Canis lupus familiaris: one gene and its partners. The protein of the gene in region 1 binds, or shares a complex with, the protein of each later gene. Links are inferred from orthologs where the notes say so. Each region holds a gene or a part of one and is shown in the gene's direction. Other genes may lie near its edges.

Region 1 (4,135 bases):
GAAACTCCTTTATTGACAATTCAAGCTGAATAACCTAGTTCTACACACCTATAATTACCTCAGTCATTTGGACTGTCAAGGAGCTTGCTTTAACTTGAACTACCTTAGTAAAAGTTTCTTGGTTTTCAAAGGCTTTTAAGCAATATCAATGCCCAGTTCTCCACTTTATTCTGTGCTGTTGAGACCCTGTGAGCATTTTCCCCACCAGGCTGTTGCTGTGTGATTAACAGGGAAACTTTTGTTAGTTCCCCTGCAGGATGACCAGTTAGCTACTCAATGTAGATTAAATAGATAGACTTATTCCACTTGGAGAATACTGGGTTAAGTTGAAGGGAATTACTGCCATCTGGTATATCGCCCTAAGTGGGGGCATCTTTATTACATCCACAAGTCACTGCAATTCTATCAGGCCACTTATGTGACAAGTGGGGACCTGCTTCCATGCTGAAGTTTGGCACGGCTTGTGTTTCTCCTTGCCAAAAAGGGCAAAGGACTTGAGCAAGAAGCCAGCTTTCTCCTGATTACAAAACTGACCACAGTTCCTCGCCAACCTATCAGTGTGAGTCAATTTTTTTTTTTTTTTTTTTGGCTAATACATTATTCTTCTCAGAGAGAACTCCACTTTTTTTCATTATGACATGGCATTTATCATTTAAACATCTGCTATGTTCAGACATGGGTACAGCAGTACTGCCTTTGCCTAGTGATGGATAAACTTAATAATCAAGTGACTAAAAAAGCAAACCCTGATACACGACATCTAAACTATATCTCTCAACTACTTAATTTTATAGAATTTGTTAGTATCATTTTGGCCTTTCTAAAGTTGGCAAACAAATGCCTCAGAAAATAACATTTCAGCAGCATGCTGATGCCAAACTTTAAAATACAAGTACATGTTTTAATTAAATAGTTTTCTTCAGATAATAACAGTTTAGAGATTCAACCAGGGATGGGCAGCTACAAAAAAATGTTGTTGAAGTAAGTTTATCTGGTACTTCATAACCCAGAGATGTAAAGTTTAAGAAACAATTGAAAATTGAACAATCTCTTTGCTCCGATAGCTCTAAATACTGTACAACTCACACCCCTCACAAGACACAGAACATGTGGGTCACTGGCGAGACAGTGTGGCAATGTTTTCCTTGTAATGTACCAAGTCTTGCCAAAGCAGTGAGCAACATCATGACACAACATTTGTCACAGCTGGCTCTCTAACAGGACAGTACCAGCCAATTCAGGCCTAGTCCTTTGTGGATTTATTCCCACCTCTCCCAAATATTTGGAAACTGATGTCTTAACTCATTGGTTGTGTTCACAAGTTCTACTACTGCAAGTCTTTTTCTTTTAATGGATTGGTCTTTTGCAAGAAATAGACAAAATATCAGTGTGAATTACAGAAAATCCCTCTTCCATGCTGTTATGGGTGAAACTCTGGGAGATTCTCTCATTGACCCAGAAAGCGACTCCTTTGCTGATACACTGTCTGCAAGCACTTCACAAGGTAAAGTCAACTCCAGATACGGCTCTTGGGTTACTTTGGGCATTTATAGAATGGTAAAATTGCTCTTGTCGTTTGTTTTCCAAGTTACATTCTAGTATGAGTTGTGTCTAGGCCACTATTTTAATGTCTACTTTGCTGTGTTTGTGTTCACTTATAAGCATCAGAGCTTTGAAAAAGAAGCCTAAGCTAATCCATATTTATCTCTATGCATAGCTCCCATTTCCTGAATTTTAAGCATTAAAGGTATGTTTATATTTTTAAAGATCCTATTCATTTTTATTTTCTAGTTTTATATATTTTCCTTTTTAAAAAAATAATTTATTTATTCATGAGAGACAGAGAGAGAGAGGCAGAGACACAGGCAGAGGGAGAAGCAGGCTCCCTGTGGGGAGCCTGATGTGGGACTCGATCCCAGGACTCCGGGATCATGCCCTGAGAGAAAGGCAGATGCCCAATTGCTGAGCCACCCAGGTGTCCCTATATATTTTCCTAAATATACTTAAGGTCTTTTTAGAATACCTGGGGTGGGGGGAGTGTCCCTTTTCCCGTTTTATAGTCTTATGGTACATATCTCTCAGGCGGCTTTTATCCCTCCCACAGCATTTTTATTCCTCTTAAAGCTCTCTCAACATGTTTTTGTTCTACTTTGAAATCTAGATATTTGTACATGTTATCTTTCCAGAGAAGTGTACACTGAGTGTAAAACCAGCTTATAATCTTCTTTAGATTTCTTAGGATACCTAGCATGGTGCCTAATGCATTATAGAATAAATAGATTGTGGGGCCTCGGAGAATGTCTATTCCAAGCATTTCATTTTACACACAAAGAAAATAACATCCCTAAATGCCTATTGCATACTAAGTAAATGATTAGCTATTACTTGCACTCAAATATATAAGATTCAAGCAGATACCTCATTTTTCAAAATTCCTTTCTTGACCATTGCAAAATATAAGTTCTTCATTTCTACAGCTCCTTCTACTGGAGTTTCTTAGCACAGCTTCTTCTGTTTTGTACTGTTTCATATTTATTTCTATATTTCTGGTTATTTTTTCTCATAGATACTATGTAAAAATAGATTGTGTTAACTAGTGTGATTTGTGTTTTATAAAATAAGTGCTGAAGTGTTACAGTTAAGTCACTTCATTGTTGAAATGAATGCCTTTACATTTCAATGTGTTAATTTTTCTGGAAGCCTGAAGTTTGAACATACTAATCACTTGTTTTTTGCTTAAACACTTGGCTGTTTAAAAATTAAGAAAAAATATTTCCTGAAATACTATTTCATTCTCTTAGGGTGATTTGATTCAATATATATATCTGTCACCTGAGCCTCTTAAATATGAGTTTGGTTTCATTATATTATATAAAAATATGTTATTCTTTGTTTCTAAAAGCCATAGAAATTATTACTATCTTTCTCCAGTTATTAGTTTAGCCTGCTGATATCAGGATAGATGTGAAATAGTCCTTGAGTCAAAATTTGATAATTTTGTCTGTTTGCAAAAAATGTGTTCAGAATGTAGTGCAATAAATATTTTAGGTTAACTGAGGAAAAATACTGTTTATGGTAAGAGATAGTTATGTGATTCCAGTTAGTTTTCATTCTGTACTGATCTCTATATATTTATGTCTTGGATTTGCCCAGGGCCTAATTGTTTTGAGTCTCAAATCCCCTTCAAAGGAATAACTCAGTACTTTTCTTCTTAATTAGTACAGAATAAAATTAATAGCAATTAAGAAATGACATATTGTGCCAATTATTTAACTTTTGTTTATATGGTCTCTGATTACTTCTTATTCATGTTGTTTTTCTGTTGAAAATGTTATTCCTAAAGGCCAAACACCTATGATTGTTAACTTCAATTGCATTTAGACATATAGGGGGGCCTGAGTGACTCAGTTAAGTGTCTGTCTTTGGCTCAGGTCATGGTCCCAGGGTCCTGGGATGGAGCCCCACCTCGGGTTCCCTGCTCAGTGGGGAGCCTGCTTCTTCCTCTCCCTCTGCTGCTCCCCCTGCTTGTTCTCTCTCTCTGTCAAATAAATAAATAAAATCTTTAAAAAAAGAATTTAGACATAATCGTCATTTGCTCTTTGAGCCTATCAGAGATGAAACACTGTAGAGTTTAGGTACTTGGCTTTAATACAGTAATTAATTTAGGTGCTCCTTCTTCTTTAGACAAGGTGGGATTGGGGGTTGTTGCAAGTAGCTCGGTGCTACTTTGAAGTAAAAGTGGCTTGTTGAGTGTGAATGATCCAGATGTCCAAGCCATATGGGTCATATTCATGAGATTCAAAAATTTATGTAGCCACTATGCCCAAAGAGGACTTCTGTGCTTTTCCTGGGCTCCATTATCACAGTGACCTCCTGCCTTTATCTTATTCCCCTATTTTCATCATGAGCTTCTCAAGTAACCCCAAGTAACCCCATTCTGGCTCTGAAACCATTTCCACTAGTAAAAATTGGCAAGACTGAAGGGAAGCTTCCACAAACTGAAGCTGAATATGCCTCCTGCTTTTAGTGCCAGACTTAGTCCTGTGTGAATTCTATAATTTTAAAGTGTTGCACCAGAGCATTGAAAGATGATGACATGCTTGTCCTTTGGAGCTGATTGAGCAATGGAAATATG
Region 2 (3,511 bases), on another chromosome or scaffold:
ACCATATTTTAAGTCTCATCCCAGATTCTAACAATAAATGTAAACCCAGCCAAAGAGCTAGGAGGCCTGGGCTGACGGGGCAGACAAGAGAGAAGGGAGCCATGTGCTCTTGCAGGTGTTAGGGAGATTGGCACCGATGGGTGCCCTGGTCTTAGCCAGTACCTCTTCCCTGGAGGGTAGGAGCACCTTCCTGGTGCCGCCTTGTTCACTGGTGCTTCACCTGACTTTCTCCCTTCATCCGCTTGTGCTGCCCTGCCCTCACCCCACCAAACCACTCTCACCACCATATTGGTGCCATTTTTCTGTATTTGATAAGTGTTACGTCACCATCTTTTCTGATTTGCTGGGTGATTTCTGTTGTACATCTTGCATATATATTCTAACTTATTTTGCTTAGAGTTTGGCATGTTGTAACTATTTTCCTGTGGGTACTTTTTCTAATGAATCATTGTGGGTGCATTTACAGGGATGAATTCATTTACCCCAATGTCCTTGGGGAATGTACAGTTGCCACAAGCTCCCATAGGACCACGTGCAGCATCCCCCATGAACCACTCTGTCCCGATGAACAGCATGGGCTCCGTTCCAGGGGTAAGTGCTTCCTTTTGCCTCAGCTGTGCTGAGAAGGCCTTGCTTGAATAAGGAAAATTCCCTACACAGTGAAATTGTAGATCCAAGAATCCTGTGGTGCTTGGTCCTCTGGATTTGATTGTGCTTTATTTACTTCATATGTCCCTCTCTTTTTGGTCTTCATTACTATAAATGAGAATTATTTGGCCATTGTTTTTTATTGGGCTAATAAATTCATAGGGACTTGGGGCTTCATGAGAAGATACAAGTTCTGAGATTAGAGTGGGCAATCTCAGATATGTCGTTGAGAGGTCCTTGACAGTGTCTCCTGACTTCTAGGGCTTCCTCTACTGGGGCTACTTTCTTAACGCTTCAGAGAAGTCGTAAAAGGTGTATTTTGACCTTTAAAGTATAGCATGTTATTGATCTCTATTCAGAGATAAATTTGAAGTTGGTTCCTTGGAGACCTTGCATGAGGAAGCATGCGGAGTGCCTGGGAGCCAGAAGGTCTCAGTGATGGTTCTCTTTCCACAGGGAAGGGAGGATTCAGAGTTCTGTCTCTCCCAGTTTATCTTCAAGACTCTGGCTCTTGTCCTCTGATCTCTTGATGATACTTGTCTTTTAGATGGCCATTTCTCCTTCCCGGATGCCTCAGCCTCCGAACATGATGGGCACTCATGCCAACAATATTATGGCCCAGGCACCTGCGCAGAACCAGTTCCTGCCACAGAACCAGTTCCAGTCCTCCAGTGGGGCGATGAGTGTGAACAGTGTAGGCATGGGGCAGCCAGCAGCCCAGACAGGCGTGCCACAGGTACCGTGCACCAGTGATGGGGTCCCCGCTTCCTCTTGACTCAAGCATATCTTATGAGATTAGAATTCCAGAATACACGTTTTATTTTTACGTTTGAGCATCTCTTGATTTTTTTTTTAACCCCCATTCAGTTTTGTTATTTTTACCTTCTTTAGAATGACTCTTATCATCATTCAACTTCATACCAAACGGAATGGATTGTGGTTTTTTGGGTTTTGGGTTTTTAGTTATCATTTTCTTGGTTTTTAGTTGTGTGTTTTAAATTCACATGTGATCCTGAGAGACCTTGAATATTACAGTGAGGACAGGCCTGTTAACTCAGCCTGGCAGTTTGGTTGGTGTGTCCTATTGTTTGTCTCTCTGAGCTTGTCATCCTGGGTAAGGTCCGCTAACTGGATTGATTGAATAGTTCTCGTCGTGTTTTTAAGTACTCTGTTTAAAGCTGAAGAAAACTATTTTCCATTCTGTTTAGTGCCTTTTTTCTTTTGATAATTAATTGTGATATATCAGATTGTTGCTATGTACACATGTGCATGTATTTAGAATAGACCAAATCTTCCCCTGGAAGATAATATTCATGTTTTCATTTTTTACATGAAGTATTAAAAAAAAAAAAGGTCATTAACTACACTAGATTTACTCACTAAATACTTATTAATTCTTCATTTCTGTAGCACTTTACTGCTCTAGAATAGCAAACTTGTTTCTGTAAATGTTTTCAACTCTGTGGGCCACAGAGTCTTTGTTTTCACTACTCAGCTCCATGGTTGTGGTAGAAAAGCAGCCATAGGCATAGTCATTCACACATAAATGAATGGGCGTGGCTGTGTTCCAATAAAACTTTACTATAAGAACAGGCAGCTAGCTGGATTGGGCCATGGGCATTAGTTTGCAGACCCCTGCTCTAGAGCAGTGATTTGGAATCACTTTTTTAAAACGTCCAAATAATATGAAGCAAGTCTCCATTTGGAAATCACTTTGCTGAAACATTTTAGTGTTTTAATAATTTCTTTTTAAAAAGAAAAAATAATAAATAAATAAAAAGAAAAATACCTTTTCCAGTGATCTAAACTATGGGTAGATGTTTTGGAGCACAAAGCTAGTAAGCTGAATGGGTATGTGTTAGTTTAAGCCAGAGGTTTCAGCAGTTCTATAAATCACAGTATAAGAAAGCATTCCACAGCATTAACTTCACTGGAAAGTGCACGTTATTGTAAGTGTACAGCTGGGTGAATTTTTACAAATGGCACATTCCCTTGAAACCAGCAGACCTCACCAAGAAGCCATGGTTAGATTTTCGTGCATTTAATTCTTCAAATCTGTTGTCACATTTTCACATGGGGAAATAATTTTAACATACTCTGTTCTCTCTATTAGGGACAGGTGCCTGGTGCTGCTCTTCCTAACCCTCTGAACATGCTTGGGCCCCAGGCCAGCCAGCTGCCCTGCCCACCAGTGACACAGTCACCATTGCACCAGACACCACCTCCTGCTTCCACGGCTGCTGGCATGCCGTCTCTCCAGCACCCGACGGCACCCGGGATGACTCCTCCCCAGCCTGCAGCTCCCACCCAGCCATCAACTCCCGTGTCGTCTTCCGGGCAGACTCCCACCCCGACTCCTGGCTCGGTGCCCAGTGCGAGCCAAACCCAGAGCACCCCTACAGTCCAGGCAGCAGCCCCGGCCCAAGTGACCCCACAGCCTCAAACCCCAGTCCAGCCCCCATCTGTGGCTACCCCGCAGTCATCACAGCAACAGCCGACACCTGTGCACCCCCAGCCTCCTGGCACACCGGTGAGCCCCGCAATCTGTCTTTGGGCTGAGACTCGTAATCGAGGACTTCCCCATAAAAAACATCCTGTCACAAAGCTGCCTTTGTGTCTTGGTGCAACCCCAGAAGGTGCCTGTACCCTAATCAAACTGTAGGAGCTATATTTTGTTTCCGACATTGGCTCCAAAGGCCATGTTTGGATCTGGCAGGATGTAACTTAAGATTATCTTTTTTAATTAAACGAGTTTTCAGAAATCAGTAGTTATAAAGAAATCAAACATAGGTCTGTACATAGGAGCCGTTGGTTCCCCATTATCCTAGGCAGGTGTCTTCTGAGTTTTAGTAATTTTTCTCTT
Region 3 (4,263 bases), on another chromosome or scaffold:
GAATCCACCATTCCCAGGGGGCCGAACCAGGAGTGGGGGCAAGGGGCTGGGGTGATGCCCTGAGGGCCCTGGGGTAACTGTCTCCCCTCTGCCACCTCCACCCCCCCCAGAGTGTGGGGTGTGGGAACACGTCCATTTCTCTCCTTCCCTCCACCCTTCCCCAAATCTCACCTGAGCCTCCTGCACCTTCCCTGCCTGGGTCTCCAGAGGGTCAGAGGCTGGGGGAGGAGGGGGAGCAGACGTGGTTACAGTGCGGGGCACAGTTAAGTGGGGATGAAGGGCTTCAAAGCAGAGGGGCAAGGGGCAAGAAGACCCACCAACCTAATTATACTGGGGTGGGAGGTGGTGGTAAAAGCTGAGCAGAGGGAGGGAGGGGATGGGGAAAAGCAGATCTTATTAGGATAGACAGTGCTGTCTGGAGAAGTGGTTAGTGACAGACAGAGGCTGGGGCAGGAAGGTTTGGGAGAGGGAGGAGAAAGTAAAGCATACAGGCATGGAGGAAGACTTAGAAGTGAGGAAGCAAACAGTAGTGAGTGTGTGTGTGAGCACGTGTGTGTGCAGGGAGGGTTAGGGTTTACAAACAGAGGGAAGTTTAAAAAAGGAAGAGAGAAAACAAAATACGCTTAGCAGAGACAGGTTTAGGAAAGGAGGTGCAGTGGAGACAGCACGTTTAGGAGGGGCACAGGAACTAGAGGGACGAGACAGGAGGGGGCGCCAGGGGTCCCCGAGCATCCTACAGTTCCCCCTAACAACCAGGTACCCTTAGCAACCGGGGCCGCGGCAATCTAAGTCCTTAGCAACGAGGGTCCTCAGCAACCGAGGTGCGAGAAACACGCGGTCATTAGTAACTTAGGGGACGTAGCAAAGGACCCTTACAATCTCGCGACCCAGAAACCCACCAGCCTGGCAAGATGGATCACTTAGCAACGACCCCCCACCCCCGCCCCGATTCCCACTGGCCGCCATGCAGCCCCCGTCTCCAGCCCCACCACGCCGGTCCTCGGGCCCCGGGGCCTGCAGCCCTCAGCCAGGCCCCGGTGCGACCCGACCCTCCCACCGGGGCCCCCGACTCACGGTCCGGCTCGGCCATGGGCGCGGGGCGGGGGCCCTCGGGGCTGTCACCGACTGCTCTGTCCCGTGACGGCACCGGAAACAGGAGGGGCAGAGACAGGGCAGAGAACTACGACTCCCAGCAGTCATCGAGGATGCATACAGGCTTTTCGTCCAGCGGCGCCTGCCGCTCTCGGGCTAGGAAGACACGGACGGCGAGACTACGAGTCCCAGAGGGCTCCGCGCAGGCAGCCATGTTGGTAAAGGGCGGCCGGAAACTGTGGGAATGGGTAGAGAGCCGCAGTCCGTCTGAATACTCTGAATGGTCACTGTGTGGTAAGGGGGCGGGGCGTGTGCTCTTTAGGTCATTCTGATTGGGTGAGCCAAGGGGGAGTGTTGGGGAATTCCCCGCAGGGCGGAAGCGCCGGGGCTTCAGGCAAAGCCAGCTACAGGCGGGCGGCCGCTGGGGCCCCTGAGGCTTCGGGGGCCATGGCCGGGGTCGCGTGCTTGGGGAAAGCTGCGGAGGCCGACGAATGGTGCGACAGCGGCCTGGGCTCTCTGGGTCCCGACGCAGCAGCCCCCGGAGGACCGGGGCTGGGCGCCGAGCTGGGCCCGGGGTTGTCGTGGGCGCCCCTCGTCTTTGGCTACGTCACTGAGGATGGGGACACGTGAGTGAACCTTAGGCTGCCTAACGGGGCCCTAGGATCCCACCTCTGATTCCCTATTAGTCTCCTATCCCGGCTCCCTAACCTTTCACTCTTAAATCTAACTTCTGATGCTCGACTTTCTGATTTGTAACTCCTAACCTTTAGTAAAACCAATTTCCTAGCCAACTTTGACCCTAACTCCTTAATTTCTCCGACTTTCCTTTCTTGAGCTCTGCTTCATATTGCTCCACATCCCTATCCATTGATCCCCAAACTGGTTTTGATCTTCCCGACCCAAGTCCGGAGACCTTTGTTAGAGTTGTGGTCCAGACAGGCTCCTCCTCACCTCCTACCTCCAAATAGGATCCTTGATCCTTAGCCTCCTGATGGATGCGCCTTGAACTTAGATTTCCAAAATTAATACATGACCTTGATTCTTAACATTCTACCTTCTGAGCACCGATCTTCAGATCTTACATCCAAAGGGAAAACGTAAGCTCCATGATAGCAGGGATTGATGCCTGTTAAGTATTTGCTGAACACCACCACGTTCCAGGCACTGGTTTAGGTGCTGCGATAAAGCAGTGAGGAAAACAGACAAAAATTTCCGCTCTTGTGGAGTTTACATTCTAAGGTGCGTATGTAGACAGACAAAAGGACAGACAGGCTGACAGAAAGACAGGAAGGAAGGGAGGGAGGGAAAGAGGAGAGAGAAGGAACAAAAGAAACTAAGACACAGACGCAAAGTGAGAAAGAAGAGAAAGGAAAAGAAGAAACAAAGAAAAACGAAAAACAGTATAAAGGAAAGGCAGAAAAATAGTGTATCTGAAGGTAATAAGTTCTTTGGGGGAAAAATAAAGCAGGAAAACGAGATCCGTAGAGTATCTGGGGGAGAACTCTCCAGGCAGAAGGAACCAGAATTGTAAAGGGCGGTGAGGGATTGTCCTGGGGTTTTTTTGTGTATTTGTGTCTACTCATCCAGTCATGGTGACTAAACAGGGCTTGACCCATAAGAGGCGTGCAGGAAATATTGTTCTTTCCAAAGACCCCTGCTGAGGTTTCATTAGTTTTCTTTATTGGTTTTTTGCTTTCTATTTCATTGATCTCTGTTTTGATTTTCATTATTGCCCTCTTCGGCTTACTTTGGGTCTAATTTTTTTTTTTCTTTCTTTCTCTCTTTTTTTAAAGTTTCTTAAGGTGGCAGCTGAGATCATTCATTTGAGACCTTTCTTCTCTAACATTGGTGTTTCATGGTATAAATTTCCAGCAGCAGTACTTTAGCAGTCTCTCACAAATTCTGATATGTTGTGTTTTCATGTTCATTTAATTCAAGATACTTTGTAATTTCTCTTTTGATTTCTTCTTTGGCCAGTGGATTATTTAAAAATATGTTATTTAGGGCGCCTGGGTGGCTCAGTTGGTTGAGCTCAGGTTGTGATCTCAGGGTCCTGGGATGAGCCTCCCATTGGGCTCTGTGCTCAAGTGTGGCATCTGCTTGGAATTCTCTCTCTTTCTCCCTCTGCCCTTCCTGCTTATGCTCTCTCTAAAATAAATAAATAAATAAATCTTTTAAAAAGGGGTAGGGGGCAGAGGGAGAGGGAGAGAGAAACCCAAGCAGGCTCTGTTGGGAGCAGGGCGTGATCCCATGACCCTGAGATCAGGGCCTGAGCTGAAGCCAAGAGTTGGTCATCCAACCCACTGTGCCACCCTGATGCCCCTAAATAAATCTTTTTAAAAAAATAAATATGTTATTTAGTTTCCAGATATTTGGAAAGTTTTCCAAATGTCTCTCTTTTATTGATTTTTAATTTAATTCCCTTGTAGACTGAGAACATACTTTGTATGACTTGGATCCTCGTAAATTTATTGAGAATTGTTTTATGGTGCCACACATTATGCGTGCACTTGAAAAGAGTGAATATTCTGCTGTTGTTGGGTGTAGGGTTCTCTAAAAGTCAATTAGTGGTCCTATTGGTTTATCATTTTATATATCCTTACTAATGGTTTCTGTCTCCTTGTTCTATCAATTATTGAGGAGGGGGCATTGAAATCTCCAGCAGTCATTATGGATTTGTCTCTTGTTCTGTCAGGTTTTGCTTTGTGTAATTTGATGCTCTGTTATTAGGGCATGGATATGTAGAATTATTATGTTCTTTTGCTTAGTTGACCTCTTAATCATTACAAAATAACCTTCTCGATACTTGGTAATATTTCTTGCTCTAAAGTCTAGTATGATATTAAAATATTCACTCCTGGGCAGCCCCGGTGGCCCAGCAGTTTAGTGCCGCCTTCAGCCAGGGCATGATCCTGGAGATCCGGGATCGAGTCCCACATCAGGCTCCCTGCATGGAGCCTGCGTCTCCCTCTGCCTGTGTCTCTGCCTCTCTCTCTCTCTCTCTCTCTCTCTCTCTCTGTGAGTCTGTCATGAATAAATAAAATCTTAAAAAAACACAACTCACTCCTGCTTTCTTTTGACTGACTGGTGTTAGCACAGTATATCTTTTTCCACCCTTTTATTTTAACCTATCTTTTAATACCTATATTTAAAGGGTATTACTTGTAGGAA
Region 4 (3,511 bases), on another chromosome or scaffold:
AGTGGAAGTTTAGTTACTTATTTGTTTGGAATATTTATAACAAGCTGACATATTTTTTGGAATCGGATTCATTCTATCACCTGTGAATGATATAGTAGTTTTGCATGTAAAAAATGTATAGGATTTAGTTTCTAAGGAGACTGAAAATGATGTTCTGTATACTTAGGGATTATTATTTATTAGGATTTAGTCTTATATTTGATTATTTTATGATCTTTTTCTTTGCCTTTTAGATTCTCCTGGGCTCCTCCAATTTGAAGTGTGTCCTCTCTCAGAGTCCCGTTTTAGCGTATCTTTTCAGCACCCTGTGAATGACTCCCTGGTGTGTGGTGAGTTTTGAGGGGGCTAGCTCTTTTCTTAGGGCAGTAGTTTGGGCTCTTTATCTTCTTTTTGGAAAGTCAGAAGCTGAATTTCTCTCAACTCCTATATGTTTTGTCTTTCAGTGGTAATGGATGTGCAGGACTCAACACATGTGAGCTGTAAACTGTACAAGGGGCTGTCAGATGCACTCATCTGCACAGATGACTTCATTGCCAAAGTTGTTCAAAGGTAGCACTGGCTCTTTTCCATCAGACTCCCATTTAGAGGGGTATAAGAAACACTGTTTTCAGTATTAAAGTGAATGGAAATTTAGGAGGGAAGCATTTATTTATTTTTTATTTTTTTAAAGATTTTATTTATTTATTCATAGACACAGAGAGAGAGGCAGAGACATAGGCAGAGGGAGAAGCAGGCTTCACGCTGGGAACCTGATGTGGGACTCGATCCCGGGTCTCCAGGATCACACCCCAGGCTGCAGGTGGCGCCAAACCGCTGCGCCACTGGGGCTGCCCAGGAGGGAAGCATGTAGTCACTGTTTTGAATTCACCTTTCTCTGCTTTGGGATTCAAAAGCAATGTGAGCTTTAGTTTTTTATTTTTTTTAAGGTTTTTATTTATTTATTAATGAGAGACAGAGGCAGAGACACAGGCGGAGGGAGAAGCAGGCTCCATGCAGGGAGCCTGTTGTGGGACTCGATCCTGGGTCTCTAGGATCAGGCTCTGGGCTGAAAGCGGCGCTAAACCACTGAGCCACCTGGCCTGCCCCAAGCTTTAGTTTTTTAAATACCATCATGGGAGTAATAGGAAGTAAGGTAGAGTAACTTTAGGTTGGTATAGGATTCTTTTAGGAAGGAAATACCTGAAATAAGATGTAGATTTTTTTTTTTAAGATTTTATTTATTTATTTGAGATAGAGAGTGAGATAGACAGGCAGAAAGAGAAGGAGCCAGGGGGACAGCCAGAAGGAGGGGGGAGAAGCAGACTACCCGCTGAGCAGGGAGCCTGACATGGGTATTGATCCCGGGAGTCTGGGATCATGACCTGAGCTAAAGACTGATGTTTAGCCAACTGAGCCCCTAGATTTTTTTTTTACTTATCTACTGCATCACTTTTTAACATATGTAATATATCAAATGGTGGCATGTAGGAAGATACTTTAAGCTAGTCAGCTTCCCAGAAACATTAATATGTAATTTTGAGATTTTTCTAGAGCTGATGCTTGTGGCCTGTTTTGTAAATAAATTTTATTGGAACACAGCTATGTTTGTTCATTTATATGTTGTCTCTTTTTTTTTTTTTTTTTTAAGATTTATTTTTTAGAGAGAATTTGAGGGGTGGGTGGGGGTTAGAAGGAGAGAGAATCCTAAGCAGACTCTACTGAGTGGGAAGTCTGATGTGGGGTTTGATCTCAGTACACTGAGATCATGACCTGAGGTAAAATCAAGAATTGGGACACTTAACCGACTGAGCCACTCAGGCACCCCTATATATTGTCTGTGGTGCCTTTCGAGCTAAGATGGCAGAATAGTTGGACAAAAACCATGTGATCTTCAAAATCCTAAAATACTACTATTTTGGTCTCTTTAAGAAAAGTTGCTAAAATGTTCTAGAGCAAAGTGTTTTCGAAAATACTTTTTTTTTTTTAATTTATTTATGATAGTCATACAGAGAGAGAGGGAGAGAGAGGCAGAGACATAGGCAGAGGGAGAAGCAGGCTCCATGCACCGGGAGCCTGACGTGGGATTCGATCCCGGGTCTCCAGGATCGCACCCTGGGCCAAAGGCAGGCGCCAAACCGCTGCGCCACCCAGGGATCCCGAAAATACGTTTTTAAACTTATCTATAAGATAAAAAGTGCTTTGCTTTAAAATAATAAAGATTGTAGGGGATTCTTGGGTGGCTCAGTGGTTTAGCGCTTGCCTTTGGCCCAGGTGTGATCCTGGAGTCCCGGGATCGAGTTCTGCGTCGGGCTCCTGGCATGGAGCCTGCTTCTCCCTCTTCCTGTGTCTCTGCCTCTCTCTCTATATATATATCATATGTAAATAAGTAAATAAATCATTTAAAAAAATAATAAAGATTTTAGAGCAATAATAGCATCTTTCACAATATAGCTTTGGGATGCTTTAAGCCATTAAGGTTTATTTTTGTTTTATTTTATTTTATTTTATTTTATTTTATTTTATTTTATTTTATTTTATTTTATTTTATTTTATTTTATTTTATTTTATGATTTATTTTTTAAAGAGTTTATTTATTCATGAGACACACAGAAAGAGAGGCAGAGACACAGACAGAGGAGATGCAGGCTCCATGCAGGGAGCCCAATGTGGGACTCGATCCCGGGACTCCAGGATCATGCCCTGGGCCAAAGGCAGGCGCTAAACCGCTGAGCCACCCAGGTGTCCCACCATTAAGGTTTAGTTTTTTTTTATTATTATTATTATTTTTTGCCATTAAGGTTTAGAACTTGATGTTTCAAGAGCTTTTTCTAGTGTTTCATTAATTAAGGTAAATATTATATCCCATTAATCACATGTGAAGTCCTAAAAGGAGGGCTTTTTTTTAAAGATTTTATTTATTTGAGAGAGTGACAGAGCAAGCATGAACAAGGTGGTGGGGGATGGGCAGAGGGAGAGGGAGAAGCAGACTCCCCTTTGAGCAGGGAGCTGATGTGGGGCTCGATCCCAGGACCCTGGGATCATGACCTGCGCTGAAGGCAGATGCTTAACCACCTGAGCTACCCAGGCGCCCCAGGAGGGCATTTTCTTACTGAGTTCATTATTACCAGTTTTCTTTTGGTTTAGTATGACATGTAATTTGGACTTTGTGGTTGGTTTGTTTTGGGTAGTGCTTTAAAAGAGGTTAAGATTGCCTACTGGTACAGATTCCTTTTAGAATGAATTTGCCCAATGCTCCAGCATTTTATAGAACTATTTCTGTCTTACCGGTTACTTGCCTTACCTGAAAATTCCTTACTGTAAACCTCTGAGTACATATCTGAATTTCAGGCAAAATTAAAGCCTGTTTTCCCAAATAAAAATTGTTTTCTTTCAGCAGCTAATACATTGCTGATTTTGTTTTTTCTATCTTATCTTACAGATGTATGTCCATCCCTGTGACGATGAGGGCTATTCGGAGGAAAGCTGAAACCATTCAGGCCGACACCCCAGCACTGTCCCTCATTGCAGAGAC
Region 5 (4,118 bases), on another chromosome or scaffold:
ACCAGAAGCTGCCAATCAGAAGAGGAGAAAAATATTAGAGACAGGCCCGCTGTGGCAACAGAGAAAAAGGCCAACAGATTGTCAGCGAAGGGGAATAGAGGAACTACAAAAGGCAGAAAAAAAAAAAAAAATCACTAAGTCCTAACATCCTAGAGTCCTTCAGTGCATTAATGGTGTATGTACCTCCTGGGAGCATCTTTTAACACCTAGGAAGAAGCCTGATGTAGAATAGAAACTTGATGTATTCGTTGAATCCACTACAACCTACCACAGTAAACACTTTTAATAATATTAACCCTCAATTTTCAAGAAAAGCCAAATGAAGTCCAATAAACTGCTTAAGAAAAAAAATAACCCATTTTAGAAAATCTTTGTATAGCACTTAACAGTGTTGTTGTTGTTGTTGTTTTTAAAGAAGTTTGACTCCTTAAAGGGCCAGATGCCAGTTCTGCTGATCATCACTTAATTGGAACAGTTCGCTTTGCATCAACCCTAGATAATGATGCATGTAGAACAGCCGGCTTGACTAAGTTGCCTTGAGCAGATTTCAAACTATGGTACATACACACAATAAGTCATCCTATGAAGTGTAAACTATATAAGATGGCAACAGATTGCACAGTTGAATCACTAGGGTGATGTAAAATAATTGTTCTAAAATGCACCATCACCATTCAGCAAACCCTTCGTACCCTGTGCCCAGCACTGGGCTAGGTGGTGGATTTATCTTTAGCGTTGCTTTCACTCTTAAGATTTGAAGGTATGGCAGAACTTCCATTCATATTTTGAAAGGTTAAATGAAATTTTAAATGCACAGCACAGCCATTACATAACAGGCATAGAAAACTGTTTCATGACTAGGATAGTGGGTTTTTTGGTGTTTAAGTACTCTATTTCCAAATGTCATAGAATTCTTAAGGGTATGAAAACCTATATATAAGAATGGAGTGCCTCATTCACTCAAGTTTTGTATAATGTGCTTTACCGTAGGCATGCCCTCTCGGAGTCGAGGTTGGGGTTCAGCTGTACTTCAGCGTTTCTGTTTTGGTTTGGTTTGTTATGTTTGTTTTAATGAAGCAAAAAACAATTTCGGCGATGACATTCAGTTCCCCTGGTAATTTTTTTTTTTTTTTTTTTTTTTTTCACGGCGAGTTACTAACTGCTAGATGCTAGAGTCAGAAAGAAACCTGACGTCTGGGGAGGTGTGGAAGGGGTGTTAATAGTTCAGTTACGGTGTTCGGGGGCGCACTGGGGGTAAGGTTTTGAAGCAGGAAAGGCAAGGGGTGGGGGGAGGAATCACGGTTCGTAGGACGCTGTCTCCTCTGCACTTTCCCTCGCCGCCACCCCAGATCCCCCCAGTTCAGAGGCGGGTTCGGCGAGATTCGGCCGCAGGAACCCGGGAGGCTCCCCGGCGCGGCCGCCACGGCCTCGTGATGTAATTGTCACCTCGTACGGGAGACCGAGCCGAGAGCGGGGCCGCCGAGGAGGTGGCAGCCCTGCTCTTTTTGCCTGGGCTGCTAGAGGGTCGGATTCTGGCCGGGATGCTGGAGATTGGCTGGCGGGCTCGCCGGGGACTTCGCGGTGACAAAGCAGCCGGAGAGAAGCCCTGCTCCTGGGTCCTACGCCCGCCGAGGAGCCGGACGCGCGCTCCTCAGGTCTCCCTCCCAGCCTCGCCCTCGGAGCCGCTCCCCCTCGGGCCCTGGGGGCCTCCCGCGGGCTGCGGCGTGGGGTCCGCGCGGCCCGGAGTTGGCGCCCCCGCCCCCCCCCCCCCCCAGTGAAGCAGGACACACGGATGCGGGCGGGGAGGCTGCGGGCGGGCGGGAGCCGCGGAGCGCGTGTCGTGCGGCGCCAGGGGACGGTGCCGGCCGCCTGCCCCGGCCCCCCAGCGCGAGCCCCCGGCCCGGGTCGCGGCGGGAGCCCCCGGCCGGGGGGCAGCTGTCCGGGCAGGGGCGGCGGCACGGAGCCGGGGGCCGGGGGCCGGGGGCCGGGGGCCGGGGGGGCGGCGCGGGCAGCCCCCGGCCCTCCCTCCCCGACGCGGGCCTCCCGCCGCCTCCGCGCCCGCAGCCCCCGCCCGCCGGCCGCGGGGCGCCCAGGGCGGGGGCTCGGCTCGCGCGAGCTGCGGGGCCCCGAGAGGCTGCCCCTGCCCCGGCGGCCATGGGAGGGAGGGGGAGAAAAGGGTTAAGAAACTTGGCTGAAGAGCTGAATGGCGTGGAGCGGCGAGGGGAGGGACCGGGCCGCGGCGGACTCGGCGGCGGAGGGAGGAGCGCGGCTGCGGGCGGGCGGGCGGGCGGCGAGCGAGGCGCTCAAAGTCAGCCTCGCAGACATTGCAGCAGAGCCCCGAACTCGGGAGGCGGCGGCGGCGGCGGCGGCGGCGGCGGCGGAGGCGGCGGCGGCGGCCGAGGCGGCGGCGGCGGCGGAGGCGGAGGCGGAGGCGGAGGGACTACCGGCCCCGCGCACGCCCGCCCGTGGCCCGCGGCCGCCCCTGCGCTCGGCGGCGCTGCTCGTGCGAGCGGAGCTCCCGGGGCGCCGGAGGACGGGGCGGCGGGCGCGGAGCCGCGGGAGCCTGGCGGAGCTCGGGGCGCGGAGCCGCGGCGGCCTCCGGTGAGTGGCGGCCGCGGCCGGGGGCGCCGGGAGCTCCGCGAGCTGCCGCGGGCGCCGCCGGAAACGGCCCGGGAGCGCGGCGGCGGCGGCGGCGGCGGCGGCGGCGGCGGCGGCGGCGGCGGCGGCGGGCAGGGCCGCGGGGGCGGCGGGGCGGCGGGGCGGGCGGGGGCATCGCCGCTCCTGCCGGCGCCGGGTCTTCCCGGGACCTCGGGGGGCCCAGGCGGCCGGCCCGGCAAGTTGCGGAGTTGGCCCCGGGCTCACGGTGGGTTCCCCGGAGGCGGCGGTCGCGCCCCGCTCGGCTGCCCCCTCGGCCCGGAGCCCGGGCGCGTGTGGCCGCGCGGCTCCGGGTCCTGCAGCCCGGGGCGACCTGGGCGGCGCCGGGCGCTGCCCCCCGCCTCCCGCCTCCCGCCCGGTGCCTGCCGGCGCGGCGCGCTCGCTGGATTCCGGGCCAAGAAAAGTGATCAGGAGCAGGGACAGCTCTCCTGGCCCTGCCCGGGCCCCCGGGCCCGGCCGCTCGGCCCTTGCGCCCCCGCCCCCGCCGCAGCCCTCCCCCGAGGGCGAGGCTCTTTGCACCCGAGGCCTCACCCATCACTCCCCCTGAGCCCCAAGCGGGGCTCGCGTTTGGGGTGAGCCCTGCGGAGGTCCTGGGAGGCTTCCTTCCCCTCTTATCTGTGTCCTCCTTAGCTACTAGTGAATATTGTTTTATGCACGGTTTCCCTGGAAATATTCTACAAACCCTCCCGTCCTTTCCAAAGTAGTTTCCAAATTTCCACCAAGAGTTGCTGTGCAGTCTGAAGGAACAAAGGAATCAACTGTGTCTCACGGGCCAACAGGCTGGGAGTCTGACACATGTTGATCTCTGAAGCCTTACAGGCGGTCCCATCTCCCATCCTATTAGTGGTTTAATTGGCTGCTGAAGATAGTGAAAGAAGAACAGAGTGATGAGTACTTTTGCGTTACATTTCTTAATAGGCTATTTTATTTCGGACGAAAAGGAAGACGTCCCTAGCTACAGGGACTTTTCACTCAGCCGGTGGGGCTGAGTTGGAGTTTGTCTCCGGTAATGTAAATGATTAAATCGTGAGATCGTGCGGGGGGTGAAAAACTGTCTTTAGGGGAAGAAAGACCGTCTGTTGATGTCCAAAGTGAAAATGGTTGTTGGGATCTATACGATGAATGCTTTTGCATTTCTGGGGGTGGGGGATTTGTGAAGCAGAAGGCTTTGGTAATTCATTCTTTAAAGTTATGAATTCCATGGAACCTGCTTATTAGTGAATCACAGGTTTAGCAAGTGGGTGTATTTTCCCGACGGATTATTCAGTGTTTAGTAACCAGGTTGCTACCTTCGTGGAAGAGACACTGAAATAAGTGGACTTTCTAAACAAGTAATGTTTCAATTGCTTGGCGCCCAAGTGTGGGTTGCTGCCTAGAGTGTGTTGAAATGTTTTTCAACTTAGAAATAAGTTGTTTTGGTTTTGTCCGGCGGTTTGGTAATGTCAGTTGGGTTTAGTTGGTTC

Evidence for each region.
Region 2: the proteins of PPARG (region 1) and CREBBP are in contact, whole or in part, in a crystal structure (PDB 7RLE), measured with the Homo sapiens proteins. The link is inferred for Canis lupus familiaris from reciprocal best matches to the Homo sapiens genes PPARG and CREBBP. Residues at the interface, in NP_056953.2 of Homo sapiens: Val321, Gln322, Thr325, Glu326, Lys329, Phe334, Val335, Leu339, Asn340, Gln342, Val343, Thr344, Leu346, Lys347, Leu496, Glu499, Ile500, Lys502; in NP_004371.2 of Homo sapiens: Asp62, Ala63, Ala64, Lys66, His67, Lys68, Gln69, Leu70, Ser71, Leu73, Leu74, Arg75.
Region 3: the proteins of PPARG (region 1) and NFKBIB are in contact, whole or in part, in a crystal structure (PDB 9CK0), measured with the Homo sapiens proteins. The link is inferred for Canis lupus familiaris from reciprocal best matches to the Homo sapiens genes PPARG and NFKBIB. Residues at the interface, in NP_056953.2 of Homo sapiens: Gln322, Thr325, Lys329, Phe334, Leu339, Gln342, Val343, Leu346, Lys347, Leu496, Glu499, Ile500; in NP_002494.2 of Homo sapiens: Asn286, Pro287, Ile288, Leu289, Ala290, Leu292, Leu293, Arg294, Ala295.
Region 4: the proteins of PPARG (region 1) and MED1 are in contact, whole or in part, in a crystal structure (PDB 6ONJ), measured with the Homo sapiens proteins. The link is inferred for Canis lupus familiaris from reciprocal best matches to the Homo sapiens genes PPARG and MED1. Residues at the interface, in NP_056953.2 of Homo sapiens: Val321, Gln322, Thr325, Glu326, Lys329, Phe334, Leu339, Asn340, Asp341, Gln342, Val343, Thr344, Leu346, Lys347, Gly427, Leu429, His494, Pro495, Leu496, Glu499, Ile500, Lys502; in NP_004765.2 of Homo sapiens: Asn638, Thr639, Asn641, His642, Pro643, Met644, Leu645, Met646, Leu648, Leu649, Lys650, Asp651.
Region 5: the proteins of PPARG (region 1) and NRIP1 are in contact, whole or in part, in a crystal structure (PDB 9CWN), measured with the Homo sapiens proteins. The link is inferred for Canis lupus familiaris from reciprocal best matches to the Homo sapiens genes PPARG and NRIP1. Residues at the interface, in NP_056953.2 of Homo sapiens: Val321, Gln322, Thr325, Lys329, Phe334, Leu339, Gln342, Val343, Leu346, Lys347, Pro495, Leu496, Glu499, Ile500, Lys502; in NP_001426204.1 of Homo sapiens: Ser130, Thr131, Leu132, Leu133, Ala134, Leu136, Leu137, Ser139.

What each region holds. Positions count from the first base shown.
Region 1 is NC_049241.1:6,278,950-6,283,084, reverse strand, and holds the start of PPARG (peroxisome proliferator-activated receptor gamma), read left to right. Parts: upstream 1-1,334; 5' UTR 1,335-1,422; coding exon 1,423-1,504; intron 1,505-4,135. UniProt on the Homo sapiens protein: Nuclear receptor that binds peroxisome proliferators such as hypolipidemic drugs and fatty acids.
Region 2 is NC_049227.1:37,799,364-37,802,874, forward strand, and holds part of CREBBP (CREB-binding protein), read left to right. Parts: intron 1-466; coding exon 467-591; intron 592-1,195; coding exon 1,196-1,384; intron 1,385-2,761; coding exon 2,762-3,178; intron 3,179-3,511. UniProt on the Homo sapiens protein: Acetylates histones, giving a specific tag for transcriptional activation. Mediates acetylation of histone H3 at 'Lys-18' and 'Lys-27' (H3K18ac and H3K27ac, respectively).
Region 3 is NC_049222.1:115,001,079-115,005,341, reverse strand, and holds the start of NFKBIB (NF-kappa-B inhibitor beta), read left to right. Parts: upstream 1-1,454; 5' UTR 1,455-1,539; coding exon 1,540-1,718; intron 1,719-4,263. Other genes in the region: SIRT2 (NAD-dependent protein deacetylase sirtuin-2), read right to left, coding at 1,075-1,200. UniProt on the Homo sapiens protein: Inhibits NF-kappa-B by complexing with and trapping it in the cytoplasm.
Region 4 is NC_049230.1:22,961,963-22,965,473, forward strand, and holds part of MED1 (mediator of RNA polymerase II transcription subunit 1), read left to right. Parts: intron 1-233; coding exon 234-329; intron 330-443; coding exon 444-549; intron 550-3,418; coding exon 3,419-3,511. UniProt on the Homo sapiens protein: Component of the Mediator complex, a coactivator involved in the regulated transcription of nearly all RNA polymerase II-dependent genes.
Region 5 is NC_049252.1:12,381,595-12,385,712, reverse strand, and holds the start of NRIP1 (nuclear receptor-interacting protein 1), read left to right. Parts: upstream 1-1,308; 5' UTR 1,309-1,435; exon of another isoform or gene 1,436-1,655; intron 1,656-2,544; exon of another isoform or gene 2,545-2,601; intron 2,602-3,282; exon of another isoform or gene 3,283-3,661; intron 3,662-4,118. UniProt on the Homo sapiens protein: Modulates transcriptional activation by steroid receptors such as NR3C1, NR3C2 and ESR1. Also modulates transcriptional repression by nuclear hormone receptors.